2 linked regions of the Canis lupus familiaris genome follow. The protein of the gene in region 2 interacts with the protein of the main gene of each other region in a pairwise test. Links are inferred from orthologs where the notes say so. Each region holds a gene or a part of one and is shown on either strand. Other genes may lie near its edges.

Region 1 (7,360 bases), on a different chromosome or scaffold from region 2:
TGCATTCTCACGGCTAAATCAAGGCTGCCCCTGGATTCATAATTTTCACATTCTTTCATGTTAGTAATCCCATCTGATCATTACGACCCAAGAGATAATAATAACAGCTAATATTCATTGAATACGTATTATGTAGCAGGTGGCGTTCTGTACTATATTAATTTACTCCTCACAAACCCTATAAAAGGGTTACATTATTAGTCCATTTTATGGATGAGTAAACAAAGGCTCATCAAAAACACGTAATCTTGCCCCAAGATTACAATTAATAGGGAAATCAGAATTTAAACCCAGGGCATTTATTCCAACACCTGCTTCTGTACCACCTCACTCCTCAGAAGGGTTTAACGTAGGCAGGTTAAGAAATTTGCCCAAAGTCACAAGAAAACTGGAGAGGGAGAGGTCTTTTAGTACTTCACCCTACTTTTCCTAAACGTAATTGGAATCATTAAATCCAGATGGGGCAAAGTGGTTTGGGATGTAGATTGTTCTTTAAAGTGGAGTATGAGCAGGTGAGAAACACTGGCAGGAAGAAGGAATCCCATCAAGTTAGAGAAGACTTATCCTCCACAGACTGGAGTCAGAAGAAAAATAAAATGTGAGCAGAAACTGTATTTGCCATTCTGATATAGGGAGTATGAAGCAGGGTAGATGAAGAGGGATAACACTAATTAAGAAAATCAGTAGAAGTGAAGCATGAGACTGATTTGTTTTGAAAGAAAATTTAAAGCCACTAAGAGATTTGGGACAGGTGGTATAACGCCTCCAAAAGAACTACTACCTACTCTCGCCAAAAGTACCTAGTGTAGGGAAAGAAAACATATAAGCCCTGACAGAATTATACACTTTTTTTTTCTTTTTTAAAAACTAAAATGTCATTTACAGTTTAGCAACTCATTTTGACTGTTAAAAACCTTCCTGTGGAGAGAAGAGGGATAGGGGAGTGTAATCAAGGATGACGTGCTTCTCATTAGTTCTCAAGCTGTGAAGCTATGGTACTGGTTACTTTAGCACATAGATGTCCCTAGGAAGACCGTTAAAATCAGATGAAGGAAATCACAACAAAATCTCTCTGATTCAAATAAATGAACTGAAATGCCAATCTAAACCTCAAGCATATGTTAAAAGTAGAATCTGTAACAGAGAGAGGAAAAGTTTTTAAAAAATCATGGCAGAGACCAAACACAAGGATCCTAGGAAGCAGCACTTTTTAGAAGACAAATTGAAATGAGGCAAACTAACCCTAATAGAATTTCCTCTCTCATTACTTAAAATAAACCAGGTCACTAAAATGGCTTATATTGTGGCATTTTGTTCATTTTAATTCCATTTAAATTCCATTAAACCATAAATTCCCATGGAAATACATTAGACACGTGCTCACAATAATTAGAATGCCTAACATTTCAGTGTAAGTACTTTTGCATGCGTTCAACAAAAGAATGCAGTGAGGCCCCTTCAAGGTTTGTTTTTTTTTCTTTTTTTTGGTTTTTTTTTTTTTTTTTTTTTTGCGTATGTCAACAGCTATTTTATGATAGGAATTATCTCCGTGGCTATAAAGCATGTGTAAAATACATTACAGGAGTCGGCGAGAAGCCTTAATGCGGAAGACCCAGTATAGGTCTGGACTGCACACACGGAAACCTCAAAATCAAGCTGAACTTCCTAGAATATAGCAATGATAAATTTTTTCCTCCCAAAGCTATTACTGTTAAATATACCTTGATAAATTAAGTTCAAGTGTAACTACAATTGAAATATGATTCAACTGAGCTATGACCTATTTTTCCTCTTAAAAGCAAAAGAGAATAATGACAGTTGTGAGACATTTTTCCATTCCAGGGTATTTCTGAAAGTTGTTTCACAGCAGAGCTAAAAGCAAGACGCACTAAGGGACAACTTATTTGCTGTAAAATAGTTACATATGCTGCTGCTCACAGGACAGTTGGAATGATTTAATAATTTGTTGTTAAAATTCTATGTCTTCACTTAACTTTTAAACTATACATACCAAGAGGCATTCAAGAAGGAAGTAACTGCAAAAATGTAAGAGGACACCTAAGTCTACAGTTCAATTATAACTATATATTTACAGACAACAGAACAATCAACATGACAAATACATAATTAACATATACTGTATTATGTGGTTGAAAATACCCACCCCTAGCAGAAAGCTTTTTGGTGTTGATAATTTTGGCAGCATATTCTTGTCCAGTAGGGATTTTCATACATCTTCTCACCACTGAGAAAGCCCCCCTGAAAACCAATAATTAGCATGTCATCAATATAATCAGCTCTGATATCCTATTAAAAATCACAGCAATCTGAGCATTTTTACTGCATTTAGTGATTTGTAAAATATCAATGCGCTACAGTAATATCAGAAAATGAACGATTCTTCCTGGGAACCCAAGCCTTCTTTAATGTTGAAGAATAAAAGTAAATTTTATTTAACTGGGAGCACACATTATTAATCAACATAATGAAAGAAACTGCCAATTATGACGGCTCTTGTTTGCCCAGGAAATTTGAAAACATTTTACAATTCACACTCACATAGTACCAAATGCTCTGAGAAGGGAAAAAAAAAAAAAAAAAAACCTGCAAAGAGCATGGCTGAGGAGGAGCAGCAAAAATCTGCTGCCTATTTATTAGAAAAAAAAAATTAATGTGGCTCCAAGTAAATATGGCGATTGTTTTCACTAAAATAGAAATCTTGGGAACATTTGTGTGGTTTAATAAGTCCTGATACGGTGATTTCTCTGTGCCCTCTTTTGAGCTGGGGGAAGGGTGAGATTTGAATTAAGCTGCTCTTCCGACATAGTCTCCATGTTTTAACAGCAGACAACATATAAATATGTAAGGATATACTTGTCATTACGTTTAAAAGATAATTACAGTTTCTTGAATTCAATTGTATAAAACATACATACATACATACACATAAACGCACCCCTTTCGTAAGTAATAGTCGGCACTAGCGATAGAGGAATAGGGTTTGGGTGGGATGCTACATAAACCAACATTCACGGTTTGGCCCCTGGGTCCCTAAGCACACAGGTCCTCAGGAGGTCTCTGGTCCCCTTCCTTAAATTCTCCGAGGAGTTCCGCCAGTCGGGGCGTGGGAGGTCGTTTTTATAGGACGCTAGGCTACCCTTGGCAAGCTTTCTCTCGGTCTCCAGGTCTTTTCCGTCGCCTGTATAAATAAATCCTCCCAGAGAATGCGAAGATGTACACGTAAATCCTAGGAAGGATGATGATGAGCGAATAATCTAGGTGCAAAGGGTAGTGGATATGGGGCAGGGGGTCGAGTTCCTTTGGTGACCCTCTTCCTGGACAGAACAACTACTGGACGTGAAATAGACTCCACGCCAAGTTGAACTTTCGGCATCAATAAATATGGCACCGTCTGTGGCAGGGAGTTCTCGTTCGTACGTGGGTCGTACGGGCGACACGCCGGCTAACCAGGAGGCATCTCTATTTACAGAAAACACGATCTATGTTGCATTTTACACGGGTTCTTGTTTTCTCTCCACACACACACACACACACACGCACGCTCGCACACTTCTCAGGATGACAGCTACAACTGCAGGGATCGTAAATCCACTAAGTCTCTAGTGCAAGAGGGTTGGGGTGGGGGGGGGTGGGCGGGAGAAGGTGGGTTGAGGATTATCGGAATGGGCCACACAAGCGGGGTGGAGGGTCTTTTCCAGTCTCGGTCCCCCTCCTCTTGCTAGAGCAGCACCTTGCTCAGAGCCGGCCACGCCACTGGCCCTCCTCCCACTCCTCGGGTCTCCCCAGCTCCCTCGCCCCGCGCGGGAGGCCGGTGGGTCGGGGAACGCTACCCGCCCCTCTGCTGGGAAGGGGACGTGCGGACGCGGGCAAAGGCGCTTACTTTCCGAGCTCCTCGAAAAGCTGATACTCGTCCGTGAACCTGGTGCAGGTTGCGGTCGAAGCCATCCTCTCGGTGCGGGCTATGCCCCTGGCTGGGAGAGCCGGCGGACGCGACTCCAACAGACGCGCGGCTTCCCCGGGACTGGCCCCGCGGCGCTGCCACCCAGGGCCGCCCTCACTTTCCTCGTCCGAAAGTAGCTCGCCCGGGAGGGAGTGTGCGCAGGGGCGGGGCGCGAGGGGAGATGACCAGAAAGGGTGGCGTGGGGTCTCCTCCCCACGGCCCGCCGATTCTCCTCCTCCTCCTCCTCCTCCTCCTCCTCCGGCCCGTGCTTCCTTCTCCGCGGGACGCTCCACCCGCCCCTTCCCAGCCCCTCTCCCCCAAATGCCGGGGGCGAAGTACTCGGGAAGAAGGGGCCGGGAAATGGAAAACAGCCGGGCACGGGGCGAGAGGCGAGCAGTTGCGAAACTAGCCGCACCGGGCTGGAGGGGAGGGAGCCCGAGGGGGCGGAGGCCGAGGAGCCGGGAGCGGACAGCGCGAGCCCAGCTGCAGCTGTCAGCGGGCGCGGGGGGCGCGGGGCGCGGGGCGCGGGGCGCGGGGGGCGCGGGGGGCGCGGGGCGCGCCGGGGCTCGGCCGAGCGTGCGCGCCCGGGGCCCGCCTGCCTCCCGCGGGCGCCTCGGCTGCCTGGCGCTGCCCCTGGGGCCCGCGCCGCTCCGCTGCGAGGCTGCGCGGCTGCGCGGCGAGAGGAAGAGCGCTCGGATGGGGCGAAGCCCGGGCGGCCCTCCGCGGGCCTGGGCCTCCGCCTCCTCCCCTCGCCTCCCCTCCCCTCCCCCGCGCTCCCTCCGCGGAGCCCCCTCCTCGCCGGTCCCACACCTCCCTCTAGCGACTCCCAGCCCGGCGCCTTCGCGGACCTCGCTCTCCGCCCCGGGTCTCACGCTCGCGCACACCCGTCGGGGGGCCGGGGGGGGCGGGGGGGGCGGAGGATGTACGAACGAGCAGCCCGGCGAGGGTTTAGGCGAGTGAGGCGACACGGCGAGCCGCCCAGGTGACCTCGCGGTCAGGCGGCTGCCGACACTGGGGCTGGATGCGGCGGAACGACGCGGGGCGAGCCGCGGGCCGGCCGGGGGGTGCCCCCGGGGGGAGGGCGACGTGCGCGGCCGCGGCCGCGTCCGCTCGGCTCCGCTCGGGGTCGACACCGCGGGGGCCGGAGGTGGGCAGTCGGCCGCGTCCCGCCCGGGGTCCCGGCCTCCCACAGCCCCCGGGGACTCCGGGCCCGGCCTGCAGAAGCCGCGCCGCCGCCCGCAGCCGGCTTAGCGAGGGGCGCTGCCCGCCGTGCGCCACGTTTCACGTGTGAGGCGACTGCACCTCACTGCCCACGTGCCCCCGCGCCGTTTTCCAGGCCGGGTCGCTCAAACTCTTGACAGACAACCCCCGCCCCAGGCCTTCGCTTCAGCCTTTGCCGAAGGCTAGAATGAAAGCAAACACTCCCCGAGCGAGCGAGGAGCGAGCCACACCCTCCCTTCAGAGTAACTCCCGCGTAAGCTCAGGAAGTTCTGATAGTAAGGCGGCTTCTCGCGAGATCTCCGGCCCGGGCGGCGGGGGCGGGGGCCGGGGGCGGGGGCGGGGGCGGCTGCTGGGCAGGTTGGGTGTCGGTCACGCGACCTGGCTGGGGCTGACGTCACTCGCATCACGTGAACACGTTCCGGCCCGTTTCGTTTTGCAAAGGGAAGAAAGAGAAGTCTAGCGGCCGGGCGTGTTCTGCTCGCATGACCGAAGACCTGGCTAGGCAGTGACCCGGAAGTACGCTTCGTAAGCGACTTAACGGTTCAAGAGTGTGTCCTTAGCATTAGCAGACAGTAAATAGGAGGAAAAAAGTAGATTTAAAATAAATCGCTGATCGCTGAAACAACCCCTGGCCCTCCCTTCTGTCTTTAATAAACTATGCATCTGCAATTTTGAAGGCAGAACAAAACGGTTTTGAACGGTCTTTCCAAATTGCTGTCCTTTGTTTTACAGCAGGGGACCCTAAAAACCTCGTAGTTCTGGCTGATTTGTTCATGATTAGCATCACATCATGGACTCAGATTTCCGCAGCTGGAAGATAAAGGATAACTTGGATATACAGTCTAATGTAGAGGAATTGTTGCCATCTCCCAAGGGCTGCTTGTCCGTAGTCACACATTTCCTCATCTGGGGAATGATCTCCTGCCAAGAAGCAGAGCTTTTACTGAGGTTTTCAAAGTATTTACCAATTCCAACCACTGTAACAAAATGGAACCTTGTGCCTATTTTTATTCCTAGCCATAAAAAGCAAATAGAACATTGTGTAAAATGTAATGATACAAGATGATACCAAAGGCTGTATAAAGAAAAACAGGTCTAAATATTAATAATTGAGCCATAAAATTGGAAAAAAAAGATTTCGTCTGCTAAAGATTTTTAACATTGTGTCTTAAATATCTAGCAACATGGTTCCAAGTTATAATGCAATAATGTAACATTCTCTGAATCTGAAAATGAAGCAGAGTGAGTATAATTAAAACAATAAATAAAGATAATATAAAATTTTACAACTCCGGGGAGGAAAAAAATTTTTGAATATTCAAGTAATTAGGTCTACATAATTACAGTATTTATCTCAGTTATTTAAACTAGCAATAATTGTGAGTGGTTATGATGATTGTATGATACAATGAAACAAGAGTTTCAATATTGATGTATTATTAGACAATAAATGTGTATTTTAAACACTGCTTACTCAATATTTGTGCTGTTTCCTGATTAATATCTTAGACTGATTAAAATATTTCTCTTATTCAAAGATTGACAGTTATTTCTGAAGTTTGGGCTTTCTTAAAACAGTGATTTTTTTTTTTTTTTTTAATGTTTACAAGACAGTAATCCTTCTAAAGTTACACAGAAATCCCATTTGGATTATAATCTTCTTGCCTTCTTCCTGGTCTCCTGTGTCTGCCCTTACCCCTTTTCATTCTAGTCTAGCCATGGCAGGCATAATGGTCCCCTTAAAACCTCAGTCAGAACAAATCATGCCTTTGCTCAAAAACTTCTGAAGTCTTAGTAACTCAATTAGATTAAAAAGCAAAATTCCAAAAATGGCTAACAAGGCCTTCACGGGTCTGCCCTCCATCCCTACTCCATTCGTCTTCTTACCCTCAGTTTGTACCCTGGCTCATTCTACTCCAGCCGCATTGGCCTCTGCTGTTCTGGAGCATGACTTGGCATGCTCCTGATTAGGGACTTCACATGTACTATTCTCTCTTTCCTGGAATATTCATTTCTCCTATTGCATTTTTTTACCTCCTTCTAGTATTTTCTCAAATATCACCTCATCAATGCAGCTTTACCTGGCCACTCTATCAATTACTGCCCATTTTTCAGACATGATTTCTATTTGCACTGCCTGCTTTATTGTTCCCCTTAATATCTATTACCATCTAGTAT
Region 2 (7,538 bases):
GCATGGCACACCTGGGGCCACACAGCCAGTTCTCAGAGGGAGAGAGAGAAGGGGGAGCACCTTGGATTTCTGCTTTTATTGGGGTCCAGGGTGGGGACCTAAAATTTTACAGGCTCACTATTTATTGGTGAATTTAAGACAGAATAGTTGGTATTTAAAGAACAAAAAGAGTAAAATCAAGCAGTTCAAATGCTCAGTTACCAAGATCTCTAAAACAAAGGAGCCTCAGGTGGGAGAGGGGGCCGTGACCTGGCTCTTTTTATCTAGAGTTGTGTCTGGCAATGTGTTTAGATAGCCATCTCTGAAATGGATGTCTCCTTGAAATGGATGCTCCTCAGTCAAAGCTTAAGCCAGGCACTGATATTACAAAGAGGATAATCCAACTGTCAAGGCTTACACTATACTCTCTGACACAACTCACAATCTTTCACCCACCTACAGCTCCCATGTCCCAACAATGAAAGTGAAAGACTTTATCATTCATTTACCCAAAGCCTCCATGCCAGAATCCAGAACATCACCATGGATGCCTTTCTCCCTCTCCCTGGACAAATCACCCATCAAACACTAAGTTCTGTTGATGGGCCAGGCAGTCTAGGGAGTGGTTAGTAAAGGCACTAGAGCCAAAGGTTTGGGTTCAAATTCACATCCTAGTAGCATAAGTTTGGACAAGTGACTTGACCTCTCTGGGATTCAGTTTTCTAATCTATAAAGTGAGGAATAATAACAGGACCTATACTTTATAGGATTATAATGAAGTTTACATAAGTGACTTTTCATAAAGGTGGACACAGTATATATTGCACAAGCATTTTCTGACTAAAATATATTTCTATCTTCTAAGTATCTCTTGAATTGGTCCCAAGCCACCAACATCTCTCCACAGGTTTCCTGCCCTGGCCTAATGGGTCTTCCTGCATCCATCCTTGCCCTCCTCTCATCCCTCTATGTACCCAAGCCTAGGTCACCTTTCAAAATGCAACTACTTAACACTCTTCAATGATTTCTACTGCATCGCCACACATCTTAACAGGGCTGATAAGACTTGTATGATCTGACTCCCCACTCACTTGTTGCATCTCATTTTCAACACTAAAATGCTCTGACATTTCCAACACTAGACTAGGGAGTTGCTTCCTCAAAATGTGTAAGAGCTGGGACAATCAAGACTATCCTTTCATTGACATAAAGTGAAAATTGACAACAGAGCCCAGTTTGTCCCAGGCTGCTTTTGAGGCTCCCAGAACACCTGCCATGCCAATCTGTTTCCTGATTTCTTCATTTAGGAAGAATTTATGTATTTATTTGTAAAATAAAAGTGTAAATAAAGGCTGGGCAGTGTGGGGGCACTCAGAGATAAATCATATCTAGCTGGGCTCTCTTCAAGGTGCTTTACCTGAATTAACTCATTTCCTGGGAGGTTAGTACTATTGCTAGCCCCGTTTTGCTAGTGAGTAAACCAAAGCACAGGAAACTTAATTATTTTGCCCAATGTTTTACAACTAGTGAATCAGGAGCCAGCTTGATTCCAGACCCTGGCTAAGGCTAATGAGATAGAGCATTATAAAGAACTTGAGAAACTTCAGAGGCAGGAATAATCACATTTAATTAGTGGAAGTCCAAAAAAATCATAATAAAAATATGACAGTTTACAGTGTGGTTTAGCACAGATTATCTCCTTTTACTAGATGAGGCAATGTAGAGTCATGGTACATGGCACAAGGTCTAGAATCCGGTAATACCAATATTGGTTTCCCAGCCTTGTCAACACAGGGTAGTTGTTTTTGACCTCCTTTTTGTGCGTCAGCATTCTCGTTTGTCAAAAAGGTAAAATAAAAGAATTTACCTCATGCCATTGTGAGGACTAAATGAGATAATAATGCCCTTAAAGCACTCGGCACCATGCCTGGATATAGCAAGTGCTCAAAAAAAAAAAAAAAAAAAAAGGCATAATAAGATGCTGGCTTATTTTTATAAGTCTCACAACAGCTCTGTGAAGGTTTTGTCTTCGTTGTACAGTTAATAGCACATGCTTACTAGATGCCGGGCATTGTCCTAACACACTGCTAACTCAATCTTCACAACAGTCCCTAGAGCTATGTCTACATATTATAATCTTTGTACAGGGGAGGAAAGTGAACATAAGTAATTTGAACAAGTTCACAGCCAGCAAGAGGAACAACCGGGTACTTACTTCCCGGGTCTATACTCTTAATCATAGTGCCTTTCAACAACAGGTGACGAAACAGGCTGGGAAAGTTAGAGATGCTCACGCCCGAGAAGGAGCTCTAAATTCCCTTCAAACCCCAGGATTATAATCACATCCAGCAGATGGCCCCCCAGAGCATAGCAACGTGCGAGATTTGCGTAAGCGGTCAAAACTACCATGCCCACAATGCTGTGCGAACATTAAGGGCCTCCTCCTCCTCCAGTTTAGCTGTCCGAGGTACTGCCTATGTGCTCTGCAGGAGGAATGCATGTATCTGAACCATTCAGGCCTTCCCTTATCTTCAGATCGTGAGGTAAAAGTTTTTTTTATCCTTCATATTACTCTCTTTGGCGTACTAGTTGGAGAATAGAAAGGCCGAAACAACGCTGCTTTTTGTTGGCGTCATATGACCAAACCTAACGTGAGGACCCTTGACCTCTGACTCAGGATGGCGGCGCCCGTGGCCGTCGCTTTTGCTGTAATCCTGAGCTGAACTGAGGCCGCAACCCCGCGTCATGTCGAAGCTGAACCGAGCCGCTCGGGCCCTCAGGAAGCCCGAGGCCGGCGGCGTGATCCGGACCATCGTGCGGGCAGGCCAGGCCATGACCGGGCCTCCTCTAGGTCCCATCCTGGGTCAGGTGGTCCCGCGGCTGGAACCCGGAGCGGGAGGCGTGGTGGGGGTGGGACCTAGTACTGGGACCCGGAGCGGGTGGAGGGTGCGGGCTCGGCTTGGTAAGGTAAGGTCAAAGCGCGGCTTTGCTGCCCACACGCTTTTGGTCTTTGCGTTCATTCCGTGGCCTGTTCGAGGCTAAGCTTCCTCCGTCCTTGGTCAGCGGCCCCTTGGGAGGATAGAGGGACGATGCATACAGATCCTCTGGCGCGTAAAGTGTTAGTTGAATCTGGGTTAATAAGAGGAGGATGGGACCTTTAAGAGATGAAGACGAAGGAGGAAAGGGATAGAATCTCCCGTATGGTAGGAAGCCGCCCCCTTGTCCCCACACTAATGTCCGTGCTTCCCACCCAGAGAGGTGTTTCCATCAACCAGTTCTGCAAGGAGTTCAACGAGAAGACAAAGGACATCAAAGAAGGCATTCCTTTGCCCACCAAGATTTTTGTGAAGGTGCACAGTCGGGACTTTGATCCTGTTTGGCTTTTAAGTTTTTATTTTTATTCCAGTTAGCCGGTATACAGTGTTATATTAACTTTGAGTGTATGATATAGTGATTCACCGGTTCCATGCAACACGCGGTGCTCATTGCACTCCTTAATCCCCGTCACCTAATGATCCTATTTGTTTTTCTTCCCCTTGGTTACTGGGGTTGCTACTCTGCTTTTAATTTTGGGTGAGGCTCTTCCTATCACCGAGTCCCACTTTCCCCATTTACACAGTGGAGACTAGACCATATCTTTTCTGAGCCTTTCCTGCCATATTGCATTTCCTCCCTTTGCCTGTCCATCTCACTCGGGCTTCTACAGCAGAGCTGAGCCTGGACTAGAGGTGACAAAGCTGTTAGCTGCAGATTTATTTTCCCCGTGTTTTCATGATCTGTTAAATGGACGCCAGTGGAAGATGAGTCAAGGGAAGGGGGAACAGAAGTTAAAAGTTCTCTGGGCTGGGGCAGCAGGGCCTAGAGGAGATAAGAGAGATATTCTCCTGTATTTTCTTCCCCATGAAGCCTGATAGGACATTTGAAATCAAGATCGGACAACCCACTGTTTCCTACTTCCTGAAAGCAGCTGCTGGGATTGAGAAGGGGGCCCGGCAAACAGGTAAGGGTCAGGGTGGGTACCCGGGATTTTGGGGGCTCTGGAAGGAAGCCGAGATACCTCAAGGTCTACTTGTTTCTTCCTCCCAGGGAAGGAGGTGGCTGGCCTGGTGACCTTGAAGCATGTGTATGAGATCGCCCAAGTTAAAGCTCAGGATGAGGCCTTCGCCCTGCAGGATGTGCCCCTGTCCTCTGTGGTTCGCTCCATCATTGGCTCTGCCCGTTCCCTGGGCATTCGTGTGGTGAAGGAGTGAGTGTCTTGGGAAGGTGCAATGTGAGGGGAGGGCTTGGAAAGTTCTTGACTCTGGAGCAAAGCCAGGAGGGCCCATTACAGTGGGAGGACCAGCTTCTGAGTCAAGGACCTTAGATTCTTGGGAGTGGGCAGCCTTATTCATCCATTTGGAATATGAATATTAAGTACCTGTTATGTGTCAGACATTTTTCTGGACGTTAGATACAGCGAGGAAGAAATCACTGGGTGGCTCAGTGGTTTAGCATCTGCCTTTGGCCCAGGGCGTGATCCTGGAGTCCCGGTATCAAGTCCCACATCAGGCTCCCTGCATGGAACCTGCTTCTCCCTCTGCCTGTGTCTCTGCCTCTCTCTCTCTCTCTCTCTCTCTCTCTTTGTCTTTCATGAATAAATAAATAAAATCTTAAAAAAAAAAAGATACAGCGAGGAACAATGAGATAGCCATGCTTGGCCCCACTCCTAGGGAGTTCACAGTTGAGAGCTGGAGGCAGATGTGTAAGTGGAGCATTAGGCTGCTAGATGGTCATTGTTGACAAAAGGAACTGCAGGTTCTTGAGGAAAGAGTAGAGCTCCTAATTTTGCCTGGTGTGTCAATGAGGACTTCACAGAGGAGGTGACATCTGCACAGACTTGGAAAAGGAGGTCAAGGACTGGGACAAGCATTCCAAGAAGTGGGAAGATCCCTGTGAAGGACAGGAGGTGAAAAAGTGAAGCAAATAAATGCAGTGTGCTCTGGCGTATGGTGCTAGAAGCAGAGTGGGGAATAGGAAGAGAGGTGAGACAAATGGACCAGTTGGGAAGGCTGAAGGCTGTTTCCATCTATCTGAAGTTCATATTTGATCCTGAGGCCAACAGGAAGCCCCCTCCTAGGGTTTGGGATGACCTCAGGAATTATTTCTCTGAAGTGAGATGTTGGATGGGAGAGCATACATCATCTGAGGGCTCAGACAACAGCAAGGGCGGGGCTTGGCCCTTTATGGGCCTCTTGCTGCTGATGTTACATCTCATGCTGAGGCTAACATTTGTTTCCTAAGAGAAGTGGGATTAAACGTGGTACAAGGATAGACCTGACTTTCTCAAATCTTCACTTTGACTAGAAGTACAGAAGTGAGTCGATCTGACCCTTGCTTGGGGGGAGGCACATGTGTATAGCCTGACGACTTCTTTGTACAAAGTGTTTGGGGGCACAGAGGAAGGGGCAGTTAATCTGGATTGGGGTATAGCCGGGGCCTCAAAAGGACTGGTGGAGCTTTAAGGAGGGAATCATAGGTAGAGACAGAGGTGGGGTAGCAAAGGTATGGAGGCTGGGGAGTCCAAGGAGGGAGAAAGGGCTCTGAGACAGTGGTGTGGGCACTTGTGAGCTTCCCAGCAGTGACTGGCCACTCACTATCTCCTTTTCTCACCTGCAGCCTCAGTTCAGAAGAGCTAGCAGCTTTCCAGAAAGAGCGAGCCGCATTCCTGGCTGCCCAGAAAGAGGCAGATTTGGCAGCCCAGGCAGAAGCTGCCAAGAAGTGACCCTGTCCCCCACACTCCAGGGTTTTGAAGGGAGTAGCTGGAATGGAGGCCAGTTGGAAAAGCTGTACCAAAAGGGTGGGAGGGAGGTGACACCAAGCTGATTGTTATATCCCTGACTTTAAATTATATATTTTCATATGTATGACAGTATCAAGAGATCAAACTTAAATAAACATTTCTTTTGTCATCCGCTCTTGACTTCTGTCTTGGGACCTGAAGGGAAAAGGACCAGTGCTGATGGCAGCCAATGTGAACAGACATCAGCTGCCCTAAGGAAGTTGGTCTTCATGCTGTTTCTCATACTGTATAATCCAATGCTTAGCCAAGCAGAGCACCTTGCCCAAGTTTTGAATTGGTGGCAGAGGTAGGAGTTGGAGCTGTTTAAACTTGTTGGAGCCTTCTGATGCGAAACCCTGTGTTGTCCTCCTCCTCAGAGGTAAGAGAACAGGTGGAAGCCATGGATGCTCAGGCTTAGATGTACAGAAGCAGCAGAGGTGGGACGCCTGGGTGGCTCAGTGGTTGAGTGTCTGCCTTTGGCTCAGGGTGTGATCCTGCAGACTCAGGATCGAGTCCCACATCAGGCTTCCTTTAGGGAGCCTGCTTCTCCCTCTGCCTGTGTCTCTGCTTCTCTCTCTGTGTCTCTCATGAATGAATAAATAAAATCTTAAATAAAAAAAAAAAAAAAGGCATCAGAGGTTGCTTGTGTCTCTATCAGAAATATCTCTTACCGGGATCCCTGAGTGGCGCAGCGGTTTAGCGCCTGCCTTTGGCCCAGGGCGCGATCCTGGAGACCCAGGATCGAATCCCACGTCGGGCTCCCGGTGCATGGAGCCTGCTTCTCCCTCTGCCTGTGTCTCTGCCTCTCTCTCTCTCTCTGTGACTATCATAAATAAAATAATAATAATAAAAATAAAAAAATAAAAAAAAAAGAAATATCTCTTACCTTTTTGGGACTTATCACCTCAACAGAAACAGACTGCTGTAGGTACTAGGTCACAGCCCCAAGCAGAGTTACTGCACAAAGCACCTCAGATCCCAGGGGTACTTCAGCCCCTGCTACTAAGCTGATCCTTATTCTGGGTCAGGTGTTGGCTGAACATGAACTATGATGGAGTTCATGGCCACAGACCCACAGAAGAAGCAAAGCTTCAGTAGGTACCTGCCCAAGTTGGGGGAGGTCTTTGGGAAGTCCCTGGCCTTTGTTTTCCTCATTATCCAGAACATCAAGGATTCCTGTCTTCTCAGAGAGGAGGAGATGGGGCAGGAATGGGATTCACATTTACTGAGCATCTGTTAGGTGCTAGGCACTTCACTTTACACTGAGATTTGGAAAGCATAGAAAAACAGGATGCCCGGGTGGCTCAGTGGTTGAGTGTCTGTCTTTGGCTCGGGGCATGATCCCGGAGCTCCGGGATCGAGTCCCACGTCGGGTTCCCTGCTTGGAGCCTGCTTCTCCCTCTGCCTGTGTCTCTGCCTCTCTCTCTCTCTCTCTCTCTCTCTGTGTGTCTCTCATGAATAAATAAATAAAATCTAAAAAAAAAAAAAAAGGAAAGCATAGAAAAACATAACTAAAAACCTCCTCCCTGTATGGGGCCTGCTTCTCCCTCTGCCTGTGTCTCATGAATAAATAAATAAAATCTTTTTAAAAAAGAACTAAAAACCTCCTGTAATCCCACCAACCAGATGAAACACTTGCCAATATTTGGTGTACGTTTTTCCTACTGTGTTTCTTTGTATGTGTATTTATATATAATATCTTTTTTTCCCCTTAAGAGTGCACACAAGCAGAGGATTGGGG

The links.
Region 1: the proteins of MRPL11 (region 2) and CAMK2D interact in binary tests that used the Homo sapiens proteins (3 or more experiments, as listed by UniProt). The two-hybrid records come from large-scale screens. The link is inferred for Canis lupus familiaris from reciprocal best matches to the Homo sapiens genes MRPL11 and CAMK2D.

Annotation. Positions count from the first base shown.
Region 1 is NC_049253.1:6,359,886-6,367,245, reverse strand, and holds the start of CAMK2D (calcium/calmodulin-dependent protein kinase type II subunit delta), read right to left. Parts: upstream 4,456-7,360; 5' UTR 3,967-4,455; coding exon 3,902-3,966; intron 2,260-3,901; coding exon 2,165-2,259; intron 1-2,164. UniProt on the Homo sapiens protein: Calcium/calmodulin-dependent protein kinase involved in the regulation of Ca(2+) homeostatis and excitation-contraction coupling (ECC) in heart by targeting ion channels, transporters and accessory proteins involved in Ca(2+) influx into the myocyte, Ca(2+) release from the sarcoplasmic reticulum (SR), SR Ca(2+) uptake and Na(+) and K(+) channel transport.
Region 2 is NC_049239.1:51,391,000-51,398,537, forward strand, and holds MRPL11 (39S ribosomal protein L11, mitochondrial), read left to right. Parts: upstream 1-2,626; 5' UTR 2,627-2,724; coding exon 2,725-2,847; intron 2,848-3,233; coding exon 3,234-3,329; intron 3,330-3,885; coding exon 3,886-3,979; intron 3,980-4,065; coding exon 4,066-4,225; intron 4,226-5,634; coding exon 5,635-5,740; 3' UTR 5,741-5,932; downstream 5,933-7,538.